2 linked regions of the Tribolium castaneum genome follow. The protein of the gene in region 2 purifies or fractionates together with the protein of the main gene of each other region. This does not show direct contact. Links are inferred from orthologs where the notes say so. Each region holds a gene or a part of one and is shown on either strand. Other genes may lie near its edges.

Region 1 (7,852 bases), on a different chromosome or scaffold from region 2:
CGCCAGGGCTATAGTTAATTTTCTCTACTCTTGAATTCCATTTTTATGCATCATTTTGCACAATTGAATGCTATCGTGTTCGTAGAACTCATTTCAAGTCATGAACTAAAAAAATACAGATTCGGGAACACCTCTGATATGTTTCGCTTTTAATTTTGATTCTTTTAGTAACAGCTTTGACCTTTTCAATTTTTGATGTCTCATGATTCGCCCACATTAGTCATTTCGGTTAAAGTAAATTATCTAACGGCTCCAACCCACAACAGCCATATTAAACCAAGTTTTATTAATTCGTTAACTGCACAACAATTAAATTAACTCGGCAAAATTTTCAAAACAAATAGTGTGTTTATTTGTGAAGAGTGAAACTTTATTTCCGTTCCAATTATTTCCGCAAAAATATTAATAAAAACTGTAACAAAGTCTGTAAACCTTGACGGTTTTCCTTCATGCGAAAAATTATCAAACGCGGCTTTTATCACTACAACTAATTAACAACAAATAGTGTGTTTTAACGGCTTGCGCTCTAAATTCTAATGTCGTTTAAATTGATCTGAATTTCTTGACTTGGTGCCAACAGTCCGTTATCTTTAGCACCACCTGTAACACCAGTGGGTGGTCCCCCCGAGAAGACAACTCCTTCGGTTGGTGATATCACCGAAAATTTCCTCTTGTTGGTAAACAAAACCAATTGGAAAGTGCCTCGAAGGCCAAATGGCAAGCCGAGACAATTGGCACACTTACATAATGCATAATTAATAATTAATTTAAATACGCTTCGCGAAAAACCGACTTTCTTCTCATTACTTGTGGAAAAAATCTTTATATTACGTGAGCAGCTCCGGCTTAGCCGCATATGCTCGTTTTTTCAATGCTAAGCGAGAACCGTGGAACCAGGACGTCGCAACATGTGTCGGAAACACCAAACAATAAAAGAAGCGACAATAGAACCATAACACGTACCTTGACTGACCCGAATAAAGCTGCACCAAGCAAAAAAACGACACTGGTCATGGCAATAACAACAACAAACAACAACAACAAATAAAAAACATACACATACACACACACAAATAATTTAATATAACAATATAGGGTAGAGAAGAGACAGGTACGGTGGATTCAAATGGGGGCGATGCGCGGGATACGAGGCATAATTATGTCCGGTATGGGGGCTCTGTATCAATTGAGATGCATCCGTGATGGCATTACACGACACGCACTCACGGTTACGCTCTTCTACGCCATTATTGCATTTGACAATAACCCGAAACGAAATGAGGAAACTTTCAAAGAGGACCTCGCCAAGGAGTAGAGAGCAGCACCTGCGAGCCAGCGTGACAACAAACGCAACAGGTGGGGGCTCTACACGAATCCGAGCCCCTGGCCTATAGGCCACCAGCAATTAGCGATACAAATTATCTAGTGCTCGGCGATTATCTTATCTAATCCATATTTTTAATAATTTTCTCTAATTTATTGACTTTTTGGTCGGAAAAAACTGAGATAATTGAATTTTTAGCTCGATAAATGTCATTTTTTGGTCCAATTCTTGTATAGGATTGGTAAAAACGTGTTATTTTACTTTTAGTTTATTTATTGTTTTTTACAAACTGTACACAGTAATTCCCTTGGTCGTAATAACTTTTCACAATGGAAACATTCCCGATGCTTTGGCACAAACTCTCAAGCTCCCCCTCCTCAAAAACGTGATAAAACCTCAAAAACGTCCGCTCCTGCTCCTCCCCTTTCAATTTCCAAGGCACTAAGACATCACTGTGGGTGAAGTTTGCCCTGTTCGTGTGCACTGGTAAAGTCACACCCTCCCCCACACTAACTTCCTCCTTGGTAACACTTCCGATAACTTCCTTTTTCCGATTTTTCCGGTCTTGTTTAATGTAGGTTGATTTTTCGTCGTTTTTGATTTGTTGTTTCGCCCAAACGTAAATAAGAGCTTCGCCGCCAATTCGAAGGATTCGGACGATTTCTTTGAGGGCTTTTAGCCGGCGTTCGGGTGTTGATAAGTGGTGGATTACGGCAATGCTGATAACAGCATCGGCTGATGAGTTTTTTAGAGGGAGGTTGAGGCAATTGCCGGTGAAGACTTCAAAACCACGGTGTTTGCAAAGGTTGTTGAGTTTGAAGCTGCGGTCGGTGCCCAACTTGAAAATAATATGAACAAGATTTTTTTATTTGGTTTTTAGAATAATTTGTTATTAGTTCAACAATTAGAAGAAACTTTCTTCTGTAAATGAGTGACAGTAATTTCACCTTTGCAAAGAATTTTCTTTCGTAAAACCGCTAATGTGAAGTGAGAATTTTAGATCAGAAAACCGCACTTTTAATTACATAATTAGAGATATCCAATTCAAGAAAATGATACTTTCTCGTAAACTAAATTTTTATTTTTTATAATTTAAGTTTTTTCCACGAAACTACATATATTCGGTTCACTTTCATAAAAACCATTGTGGTCTAAATAACGTACTCTTGGCATTAACTTTTACATGAGTTGTCATGGTAACAGGTTAGTCATTTGCACCACAATGGTTTTTATCAAAGTGAATCGAAAGTACATGTTAGTAATTTTTTAAAATTTTTTGTTCAAAAGAATATGCACATTTTATAGATTATGTTGTCCATTTTACAGGCTATAATCAATAATAACCTTTTACATGAGTAAATAAATTATCAAAAAAATTTTTTTTATTTTTATTAATTATTTTTTTAATTACCTCCACAATTTGTCTGTTGTGTCCAAAATACTTCCCATTGCCACACCCCACGTCCACCAAAACAGCCCCAATTTCGAGCTTTTGCACAAAATTTAGAACATTTGGCCACGGTGTGTGTCTAGTTTCGCTAAAATGCCCGGCAATATCCTCATAAACATCATGAACGTGTTGATTTTCCAACTTATGGGCTAACAAATCGCTCTCAATAATTTTGGTCGCAGTTTGCGAATCGCACTGTAATTTGTAACTGCAGTTACATCCCCCTTTCCTGATTTTTCTGAAGGTGAAAGACACCCTAACCCCGCGTTTGAAACAATGACAGCCCCCTTCATCATTGTAAAAATCAAAAGTTCGGGGCACGATCCCATGCGTCCATTCGTACCTACTCTCCCCTGCCATTACAAGTAACGACCTTCGGGGTAAAAGAACACAAATCGTTTCGTCTTTTTTGAATTCCATCACAACGTCAGAACTGAGGCTTAGAGACAGGATGGGGTCCCCGAACGCGCTGTGGGTGTCCACGTGTGAGGGAATCCCCTGTCCGGGATTGTACCGATTGATTGTTAACTGATTGGGGCGGAATTCAAACGGAAGGCGTCTCCATAAAAAATCGCACTCTTGGGGGATTCCCTCACTTAACGGCTTCTCTTTATCAACATTGTTAATATCGTAACGAAACTCATAACCGTAGTGTTTTACTAATCTGTGTTTCATGCTTCCGCCATCTTCAAACTGGCACAAAGCCAACAATCTTGCCTCTTCTTCCTCACTAACAAAATTCGTAATTATCCTCAAACCTGGCGGGAGGCGCCCCCAAATTTTCGCATCCCTTATCTCAGGCAAAGCCTCAACAAAACTCAAAAAAATCGGTTTGCCGTCTTGGGCTATATTCAATTTACCGCTAACAGCCTCCAATGCTTCTGAAGCACTTGAGGTGTCTTTATAGCTCAAAAAAGCGCACGATTTTCCAGGAACTAGTAAAACGCGGTCGAGGTGACCGTATTTTTCGAAGTGTTCAACGATTATTTCCTCAGTTAAGCCGTTAATTTGGCCAGTATTGCAAATTACAAGGTTCTGAAAAAATGGGGTTATGCAATTATTTTTTACAATTTTGCGTTTTACTTTCGTGGGGCTGTCGGTACAGACGACTCCGGTTTCTTTCCCAACAGTGTGTTGGTGCTTTCGCAGTTTTTTAATGAGTTTTTTGCGGGAATTGTTAGATTCCATTGGTACAAAAACTGAGGTTAGGGTGAACAAGACACGACCATGGAAAAAAAGGGGCCGCGTATTTTAACTATTAGTGATTCCAACTGTTATTGTAATACATTATACAACTATAAACGTGTTTTTGTATTTTTTTTTTCAAAAAAATAAGGGCTTTAATAATATATGCAACACACTTAACACTAGTATTTTCCTGGTTACATATGTCCGTTTATGTTAATTTTTTCAAACAGAAATTAAAATTAATTAATTTCCAAATTTTAACGCCATATCCTTCCACAAAACAAAAAATTAAGTTTTTCGTATGCCTATTAGGAATTGTCAATAATGATAAGTTGATAAGATGTGTGTAAAAGACACGAATTTTTTTTAGATTTTTTTTACTTGTGAGGTCTTTAAATCCAAACGGCAAACCTCTTCAGTTTCATCTAAGTGGTACATTTCAACATAAGATTATTAATTAAGGGTGCTTTATCGAAATATTGATTTATTTTTTTTTATTTTTTATTTTAAGAAATATAGCTAGAAACATTTACCACTTTTTGTGGTTTTGTGATGAGTTTATTACTCTGCCTATCGAATCATTAGAATTAATTGCTATTCAATGAGCGATACTTGCCCGCATAACATTTAACTAATTCAGAATTATTTAAATGAATTTTAACAACGTAACTCAATATGTAGATTTGCTTTTTATTACACGTCCCTGCTTGAGAATCTATTGTTAAAAATTATAAAAGATAATAGCCCCCCTCAATGACCTAAAGGTGGCAACAAGCCTCAAATTAATAACCCCCTTGTAAACCGTCCATTTACAACAATCTGTAAAAAAATCATCTGCCTCGGCACCCAATCAAGTTAATTATCCAGGTGGTCTTAGCCCATTGTATCCAATCTTCGACTCATCTGCTTGATTTTGGCGACGCTCTGACCAGCTGAACGTAAAAAAGTGATGATTCTAGAACTCCGCCCTGGCCAGGTGTATGCGGGTGAACGCTACTGATAGTATAATAATGATAGGATCAAGGGTTAGTACCATCGTGGTTAAGACACGCGAAAGCACGCGAAAGATGAACAATGGCGGCCCCGACAGCCCCCGTATCATCTTGCATGTATTCAGAGTGGATGATCGACGGAAAATATCAAGTTACTGAAAGGACACACGAAGACAACAAGCGATATAAACACGTGCCCCATAAGGACAAGCCGGCGCAAGTCGTCGCCAGAAGAAATGCCAGGGAAAGGCGCAGGGTGCAGGCGGTCAACTCGGCCTTTGCCAGGCTGAGGAAGGTCGTCCCTTTGGAGAATACAAGGTTTTTTGCACACTAACTATATTTGGAAGCTGTAGGAACCAGAGAAAAGTGTTTGCAATTTTAGTAGTTAAAAAAAATCATATTCTTTGAATTTTTTTTCAACTAATTTAAAAATACATTGCCACTTAGCGTGTAGATTATTTTACATATCATTTACAATATTTTACTTATCTCGGTCTAATTGCGGAGAAAAGTGAGTGAAATTCGAGCGTGATTTTTCTAGGGGAAAGAGGGTCAGTAAGGTGAAAACGCTGCAACAGGCCATCGAGTACATCCAAGCCTTGGTCCAATTGCTGGAACAAGACCGGAACTGGATTGTAAGCAATCTACCGTAATTATAACAATTTTACAATAAAAAATTGCAGTCCCACTACTACTCCCACAAGCTCGAGGGGGATTTCTTCGATTACAATTTCTGAGCGTGTTGTTATCAAAGTCGATTGTCTCTAGTCAAATAAAATCGTAATTTTTTCCACAATGCATCATTGTGAGGGCACCCACATCGACCTTGCCTCCAATTCTCCTTTATCATTCCAATTGCGTATCCCTTGATGTAGCATTATTATTCCATGTGTGGAAAAATGATTTATTTCGCAAATATTAATTGGCATGCGGTGATTAAAGCACGTTTTTGTGTAGTAGCATGTGTAGAGGTGCGGTGTTAATGCCTCTTTTGGATATCTTCACGTAGCAAAGGACATCACTCGCACTCTGGCAAGGACGTGCATTTAATCACTTATTACAGTTGGGAGTATTTATTATTATCAACAGTCAATGTACATACACGTAAGGAATGTTTACATCCTGTTTGGTTGCTTCGGACAAAGCGACCTTAATCAATATTCATAATTAACGGCGATTTGCGGCCTGACCGCAAAAGTGCGAAAAGGGAGGCTGGCGAACGCGGGGGCGAACGGCTTGCCAAATTATAAGGTCAATAAACCCGAATTTTATAAAAAAAATACGAAAAATTGGTGATTTTAAAGCGTTTCAGAGACTAAAAATTACAAATAACTAAAATAAAAACGGTAAAATAACGGTAAATGTAAAATAATTAGGTATTTTAATAAAAAAAAAAAAATGATAATTTTTTCCAATTTTTTGTTGTGAACTACGGAATTCTAACATTTTAAAACACAAATTTCAACGCAATTTAAAGTCACCTACAAAAAAAATTAAATTTTAGTTCGATTTACGACTTGTTACATTGTTTCCAATAATTTTTTAACTTTAAGTGATAATTCTTATTCTTCACAAAGCTCTGTTAAAATTTATTTCGTTGTTAAAAGTTAACAACGCGAATGGACCAACCAAATTGCTTCAATTTGGTCACGTGATTAATCGCGCACTTAATTGCAGATTAAACTAATAACGGTTCTATAAATCGGTTCTAAGAATTCAAAATTGGATTCTATATTTTATTTACGTTTATAATAATTTATGTAACACATTTATTTGTTTTTTTTTTAGTTAAAAAAAAGATATGTTGCTTCAAATGAATGTAATGGAATAACGTCTAAAAAAAGCTCGGTTAATAAAAGTAATCAGTTAAACTAGTTAAAGTAACCAATTCTTGTCTTTTCGGCAATTTTTTTACGAAATTTGTCAAAATATGTACGTTTATTTTAGCCTTGATAATAATTTAGTGATCACGTTTTGATTTGAAATTCAAAAACGTGCGTAATTGCTCAAAAAAAGTAAGTTAATGAGTGAAAGACACCTTTTTCGAACCAATTCACCAATTTTATCAGTGATTTTTATCAATATATTTGAAAATTCGGAGATTTTTAGCTTATATTTGAGAAAATTTAACGAAATATAAACAATTTTGTTTCTATACAGGGTGCTCAAAAACTGGCGCACCAACTCAGTGGTACGTTATTGAGAAGCAAGTGCAGATTACGGGAAAAATGTTGAAAAAATTCCTAAAGTAATATTTTAAAAAATCTAGTACTACAAACTTATTGTGTTAACTTCTTTAGTTTTCATTATTTTTTTATGTTTTTATGTTTCATACCAGGTAATCGTTCCGTAACAAAACGATGAATAATTATTTTTAAATTTACTTTCAGACTTTAACAGTTTTTTTTAATAAAAAAAAATTAAAATTCATCCAAAAAATCACATTGTGTAGATGTGCCAACACTGGGAATTGTTTTCTAGGAAACCATTTCAAAAATGATTTATTTTTATTGTTGCTCAAATTCTATTGCGATCATGACTGTTAGACAACGTTGCCACATATCATTTATCTAAAATCCGTTATTTATCAAAAACTTTAATACAAAGAATTTTTTTACTATTTTTACCTTTATATGTAACCACTTCTCTACCACACACCATTGAGTTGGTGCGCCAGTTTTTGAGCACGCTGTATAAAAAAAACGTAACATCATTAGAACATAGAACGCCAAAATAATTTTATTATCGACCCAACTTAATAAATTTTCAACTCAGCTTAACAAAGATTTCGTAAAAAAAAACTGTTTTTATCTTAAAACTGTTCCTGGAATGCAAAATTTGTTTATATATTTTTTTGTTTTATGATAATATTCAACGACATTTAGTTCTTTTTGGCTC
Region 2 (6,193 bases):
AACTTCAAAAGAAAGCATACACAAAATAATTAACAAGTCAATATCTAAAAAAAGCAACAGCAAGCCAAAGGATACAATTAAAAATTTTTTAGACCATGTTAGCAACAATCAGAAAATCGAGATTAACAAAGCACTTGGCAAATTTATTGTAGGTTGTAACATTCCATTTCATGTAGTAGACTCAATTCATTTCAAAGACTTTTTGAGAGTGCTTAGACCTGCATATCAGCCTCCCTGCCGCAAGACAGTGTCAGGGACCATTCTAAATTCATTATATGATGAAATAAATGAAGACGATCAAAACTCAATAGGTAAATTCTCTGTTATGATGATCGATGGGTGGAAAAATTCAGCAAATAACACAAAACAAGTGGTAACAATTTTGAAGTCAACAAGAAGCGATAAGTGTATTTTTCTGGAAGCATATGATGTAACAACAACACCAGAGACGGGAGAAAAGCTAAGTGAATTGTGTAATCTATCTGTTGAACTAGCGAAGACAAAGTTTAAGACTGAAATTTATGCTGTCGTTAGCGATAATGCAGCAAACATGTTGAAAATGGGAAAATTGACGAGTGATTTAATGCATACTACTTGCAATAGTCACACAGGAAATCTTCTTGCCAAAGACTTAATTTCCAAAGAATTATGTTCCAAAGTAATCACTATCTTAAAAGAATTTAAACATCCTAATCTCGAAAAGGAGCTGCAAAGTCAGGGAGGATCAAAGATAAAATTAGCTGTCGATACTCGGTGGTGTACCTATAGAGACTCATTTTCTTGCTTGATCAAAAATTTAAAATTTATGAAAAAACTTGCGGCAGAAGAAACTATAAAACTTAAACAAGAAATAATTCAGTTACTATTTGACGATGAGTTCATCGATGAAGTTAAAACAACAATTGAAGTATCTAACCCGGTTTGCAAATTAATTAATGAGTGTCAGTCTAGCAGCTGCACTATTGCCGATGCTTGTGAGAAATGGACTCATTTACAACTGCCTGCGGAGTTTGAAGATGTTTTGAAAAGAAGAAGAGACATGGCGCTAAATATTTACTCTTTAACATCAAATTTTCTTCATCCTCTTTATAGAGGAAGGTCTTTGAATCAAACCCAGGTTGATATGGTCCATGACTATTTGGTAGCTACTTTAAGTGCAGAAGGTTTAATGAGTTTTCACCAATTTTGTTCTTCGGAAGATATTTTTGAAACCTTAGAACGTAAAAACATTTGTTGCCCAAAAGTTTTTTGGGGATTGGCCGAGAGAAAGCACCCAGAGTTGGCTAGTGTAGCTTTAAAACTTATCAATATACCAGCCAGCTCAGCTTCCTTGGAGCGTGTGTTTAGTAATTGGGCATTTATTCACAATGATTTGAGAAATCGTTTGGATGCTGATCATTCGAGAAAAATAATGCATTGTTATTACTCCCTGAAGATGCGGGAAAGTAACGAAGTCAGTTAAAAAAGAAACATTGGTTGTGTTTTTTTCCTCGAGATTAATTCTTTTATTTTGTTTTTTGAGAATAGACTTTATTTTGTTTTTTTGAGAATAGACTTTATTTATTTTTTTTTTGAGAATAGATTTTATTTTTTGTTTATTACTAATCTGTTTTGCCAAATAAAGAAAATAATAGAAAATTGTCTTGTTTTACTGTTTACTGACTACAATTTCTGATGGTAAAAGAACTTACTTAATTAATAATGATATGTATTTAGTAATAGAACATTTTTGATTCATTTTTCTCTTCTTGAGAACAAATAAATGCTACCAAATTTTGACGTAAAAAATAGTGTAATTTTTCGGTAATTTATTTGGATTGATGACGTAGAAAATGTGCAAAAACTACGCGTCGTTATACTGTAGAACGACGTTTCAATATCTACGTCACAACCCTGACTACAACCTACCAGGGCCTGCTTTTTTGAACAATTTTTTTAAAGTAATGTGAATCAAGTGGTAATAATTGTCAAATAAACAAAGCCAACTGTTTATTGCCAAAACTCAAGACAAGCGACTTGATGATGATGTTGATGACTCACCCTGTGTACGGAACGCTTTCCTACCTTCCTATTATTATGAATTTGTGCCGCTTTTTGGTGTCTGATAGTACACGTGTGTTTGAGGAGACTCAACCGATGGGCATGGAGCGTTTTCTGACAGTAGGTGCAATAGGCCCGCGTGGGTTCCCCAACGACTCCTCTAAGCCAACCTTCGAAAAATTCGTCAAGTCCTCGACAAAAACCCCCAATTCTCACCTTTAAAATCGGGCATTTGCTCCCATGCTGGGCGATACGTCTGTTTGTAATATTTTCCTCTAACGATATTCGAACTGCTGTTTGATAGACTCAATGTGGCGTAAGAAACCGACGAGTCGTCTAAATGCACCGGAATTTCGGCCAATTCTTGCGAATCTTGAGACTCTTCTTCAACTTCTTGAATTTGCTCACTCTCTTCGCTTTCCATTTCACGCGCCAACAGCAAACGGTTATTTTTCTAAGTTACTAAAAAGCCGAAATATAACTAACTGCAATATGGCGACGAGTTGGGGATTTAGCGTTGGGATGCACCGGAAATACCTCAACCAAGTACCACAAAACCACAACTATTTCTCACCCAACTGGGCAAAAAACGGCCCCCATTGATAAAACTTACCAAAAATTAATCACAAATTTCAAAAAAATAACTACGGCGGTTCAAAAATCTTGATTCAATTGTTTGTACGGTTAAATAGTTGTTAAAGAGTCACCAAGTTCCGTTCGAAGCGAGGCGCGAAATTTGAACCAAAAGCTCATTGTAAATCAATCAGTGATGGGGTAAGCATCCAAGAGCGCAAAAAGTGTCTCACGCGAAAAACTGGCCGATTTAAACAATTAATTGTCCACTGGTGTGAAAAATACACGTAAATACACAAAAATCGGAAAATGAAATTGTTAACCCACAACATGCTAACCTCCAAATGCATGAAAGTCGTGACTGTGGGGTACCCGCTTGGTATTAACGTGAGTACTTTACGTTTTTAATACAATTCAGGCGAAAAACGCCCCTAAAATCGGCTAAATCCGACTTGTGTTGTTTGAGGTTATGTCAATTTTTTTCCCAAAATTTCAGGCTTCGGACGTGCGAGTGTCCGAAGTGGACTTCAACCCGGACTTCGTGGCCAAAATCATCCCAAAAGTGGACTGGAACGTGCTCTACAATGCAGCCCAAAGCATAGGCCAACTGGAGGGGCTCCCGAAGGACGTGGTCGAAAATTACGAAAACGACCACGAGTTCCTGAAAAAAGCCCATCACGCCTTGCTGGAGATCGATATAATCAACGGCGAGCTGATCTGTCCCGAAACCGGACGGAAGTTTCCCATAAATAACGGGATCCCGAATTTGTTGCTGAATGAGGACGAGGTGTAAATAAAACAGTGATAGTAACCATGAAGGCATTTTATTTTGAGACACAGTACAATTGAAAGCGTTTGACATTGTACAGCTACCAAGAAAATACGAAAATTGCACACTTTATCTAACAGCGTGTAAATATGTCTTGTCAATTTTTACAGTACAAAAATATTTGGGGTACATTAGGGGACTTGAAATCGTGATATAGCTGGATATGTGGGGGCACAGGTATTTCAAGTGGGCGGCATAAGTTACAAGCCACAGCCTTCCAAAAAATAGGATGCGTTTCTGGATCACTACATTGCTCCGAGTGTTTATTAAAAAAAACGTGCAAGAGTGCTGTGATTTCGGGAAACTATGGATATCTAGAAATGACGTACAAATAAAACGTTCCCGTCCTCGATAGTTCCGTTAACGTCGCCAGAGAGCGTAGTTAAAATGGTTGTCTGTCCCATATTTTTTTGGGTTAAAAAAATCGTCTCCTAACTTATAGTCCTCCGTATTCATACAACACTCTTGATGCACGTTCTTTTGTGAACACTGTACAAGTAACAAAATCTTTGGTTGTGAAATTGCAGATCAATCTGAATAATTCGATGCCAATATCCTCAAGCTTTGCCGTTTTTTTTTAAACACTGCATGCACACTTATTTACAACGACTTAAATAATAGTACACATGAACTGCTACTTTCCCCGAGACTCGCCCCCAACTGCGACATTTTTCAATTGGGAGAAAATGCTGCCTTTGGCAAGGCCTTGTTTGGGGCCTTTGCGCAGTTCTGGGTTTGAACCACAAGCTTGGTAGGTTCTTTGCGAGAGCAGGGAGCGGTTAGGGCCTCTACTTAGGGCTTGGGGGCCTTTGCGGTGGTTTGAGTTAGGCCCTTGCCAATTGACGTAGTCTTCCCTAAAGGGGTATAACAATCAAGAAAAAAAAATATTTGAATTAGAAGAAAAAACTTACAAAAGGATTTTGCTATTTGGTCCTTTTATTAAATCCGCGTTAGGCCCTTGTGTGTTCATGATGTTTGGTGAGCGACGTTCCGGTGACATATTTTCAACAAGTCTAGAAGTGGTGTTCAGTAATTAAATAATTACGTTCTTTATTAAGAAAAAAAAATAACAAAAAAAACTCAAATTTTATAAAAATGAAAATCTTCAAAAAATAATAAATAACACAATTAAAATTAATTATGTATTTTTTATTTCTTACAAATTCTCGTAATTGAATATGAAATAAATAATAATTTAAAATAAAATAAATAAAAAAAATAATTAAAATGTAAAAGTGAATATGGTCGTTTTCGGACAATTTAAGGAACTTTCAAATCTTATCTAATGATTGATAAATCAACACAGTTCAGCGAAATAATGAATAAGGTGATTTGAGCTATTCCTAAGAGATTTTTCTAATTTTTTACCAAAATGAGACACCTTGTAAATTTGAAGCTCGAAAATTATTCTAGTTCACTGTATTCAGCAAAACAAATGGAAAACTCGCCATTCTTGGTCAAAATAAAGGGATCTGAGATATTTCCAGGCGATTTTACTCGTTCCTAGGCAAAACATCGTTTAAAATCGACGTTTATCAGTAAAATAAATGCGAAAATCAACGTTGAAAATTATTGAAGATCGACGTATTTCAAGGAAACAAGAGCAAATGGCGTAGTTTTCGGACAAAATAAAGTGATTTGACTCGTTTTTAAATAAGAAATCATCTTAAATTCTCTGAAATAAGTGTGAAAATGGTCGTTTTCGGATGGGAAATCTAAGAGTTTTTGCTCGTTTTAAAGCAATAAATCGTTTTAAATAGATTTATTTTATCAAAATTAGTGTGAAATTAATTGTTTCCAGTCAAACTAAAGCGATTTCAGCTATTCCTAGACGATTTTGCTCATTTTAAAGTAAGAAATTAATAAAACATCACCGAATTTCAGTGAATAAATTAGTGACAAATTAATTAAATTAGACAAAAAAATCAGAGTTTTGAGCTATTTTCAAGAGATTTTACGTGTTTTAAAGCGATAAATCGGCAAAGTACTTGCAAAAATTGTAGTTTTTCTTATCAAAATGAGACAAATTGACCTATTTTCAAGCAAGAAATTATTCTAGATCAACGATCAATGTATTTTTACATAAACAAACTCGTCATTTTCGGTCAAAAGAGGGCGATTTGAACAATTATCTTACGATTTTACTTGTTTTAAAGTAAGAAAATAATTAAAAAATCATCGAAGTGTAAAAGTTGTCTTTTTTGGATAAAATAATAAAGGTTTTTTGGCCATTTCTGGCGAGTTCGTTCGAAACTTTGCTCATTTTTAAGCGAAAAATAAATGAAAATAAACACATCTCAACAAAATAAACATTAAAATCAGTCGTTTCAGGCAATAATGAAGCGACTTAGCAATTTTTTGAGTTATTATGTGAAAAATCTAATAAATCACTAGATTTCATAGAAATAAGTGCGAAAACTGTTGTTCTTGGACAAAATAAGGCAATTTGTGCAATTTCAAAGAAATTTTGCTGTTTCAAATCGGCTTATTTTAGCAAAACAATACGAAAATCGCAAAATGAGACAATATTTGACTCATTTTCAAGCGAAAAATAAATCTAAAAAAACTTATTTCAGCAAATATATTTTTGTTCGCTTAAAATGAAATAACTAAGCTATTGTCCAGTGAACTTTGAAGCAAGAAATTTCGATTTTTAGAAAATTTACACAAAACACAAACATTAAAAATTTCTTTAAAGAAAATGGCACCACTAAATTTCGATAGAATTTCATATAAGCAGTGTGAGGAAAT

Evidence for each region.
Region 1: the proteins of Trmt112 (region 2) and alkylated DNA repair protein alkB homolog 8 purify together in Homo sapiens (co-immunoprecipitation; 3 studies listed by IntAct, with this or other methods). This does not show direct contact. The link is inferred for Tribolium castaneum from reciprocal best matches to the Homo sapiens genes TRMT112 and ALKBH8.

What each region holds. Positions count from the first base shown.
Region 1 is NC_087402.1:1,186,149-1,194,000, forward strand, and holds alkylated DNA repair protein alkB homolog 8, read right to left. Parts: upstream 4,108-7,852; 5' UTR 3,963-4,107; coding exon 3,858-3,962; intron 3,810-3,857; coding exon 2,736-3,809; intron 2,163-2,735; coding exon 1,593-2,162; 3' UTR 1,577-1,592; downstream 1-1,576. Other genes in the region: Ptp10D (tyrosine-protein phosphatase 10D), read right to left, coding at 964-1,014; transcription factor ATOH7, read left to right, coding at 5,037-5,272, 5,496-5,589, 5,638-5,691.
Region 2 is NC_087394.1:6,128,806-6,134,998, reverse strand, and holds Trmt112 (multifunctional methyltransferase subunit TRM112-like protein), read left to right. Parts: upstream 1-2,753; 5' UTR 2,754-2,922; coding exon 2,923-3,000; intron 3,001-3,109; coding exon 3,110-3,406; 3' UTR 3,407-3,427; downstream 3,428-6,193. Other genes in the region: uncharacterized protein LOC655985, read right to left, coding at 2,041-2,210, 2,257-2,464; uncharacterized protein LOC656340, read right to left, coding at 4,077-4,296, 4,354-4,455. UniProt on the Homo sapiens protein: Acts as an activator of both rRNA/tRNA and protein methyltransferases. Together with methyltransferase BUD23, methylates the N(7) position of a guanine in 18S rRNA.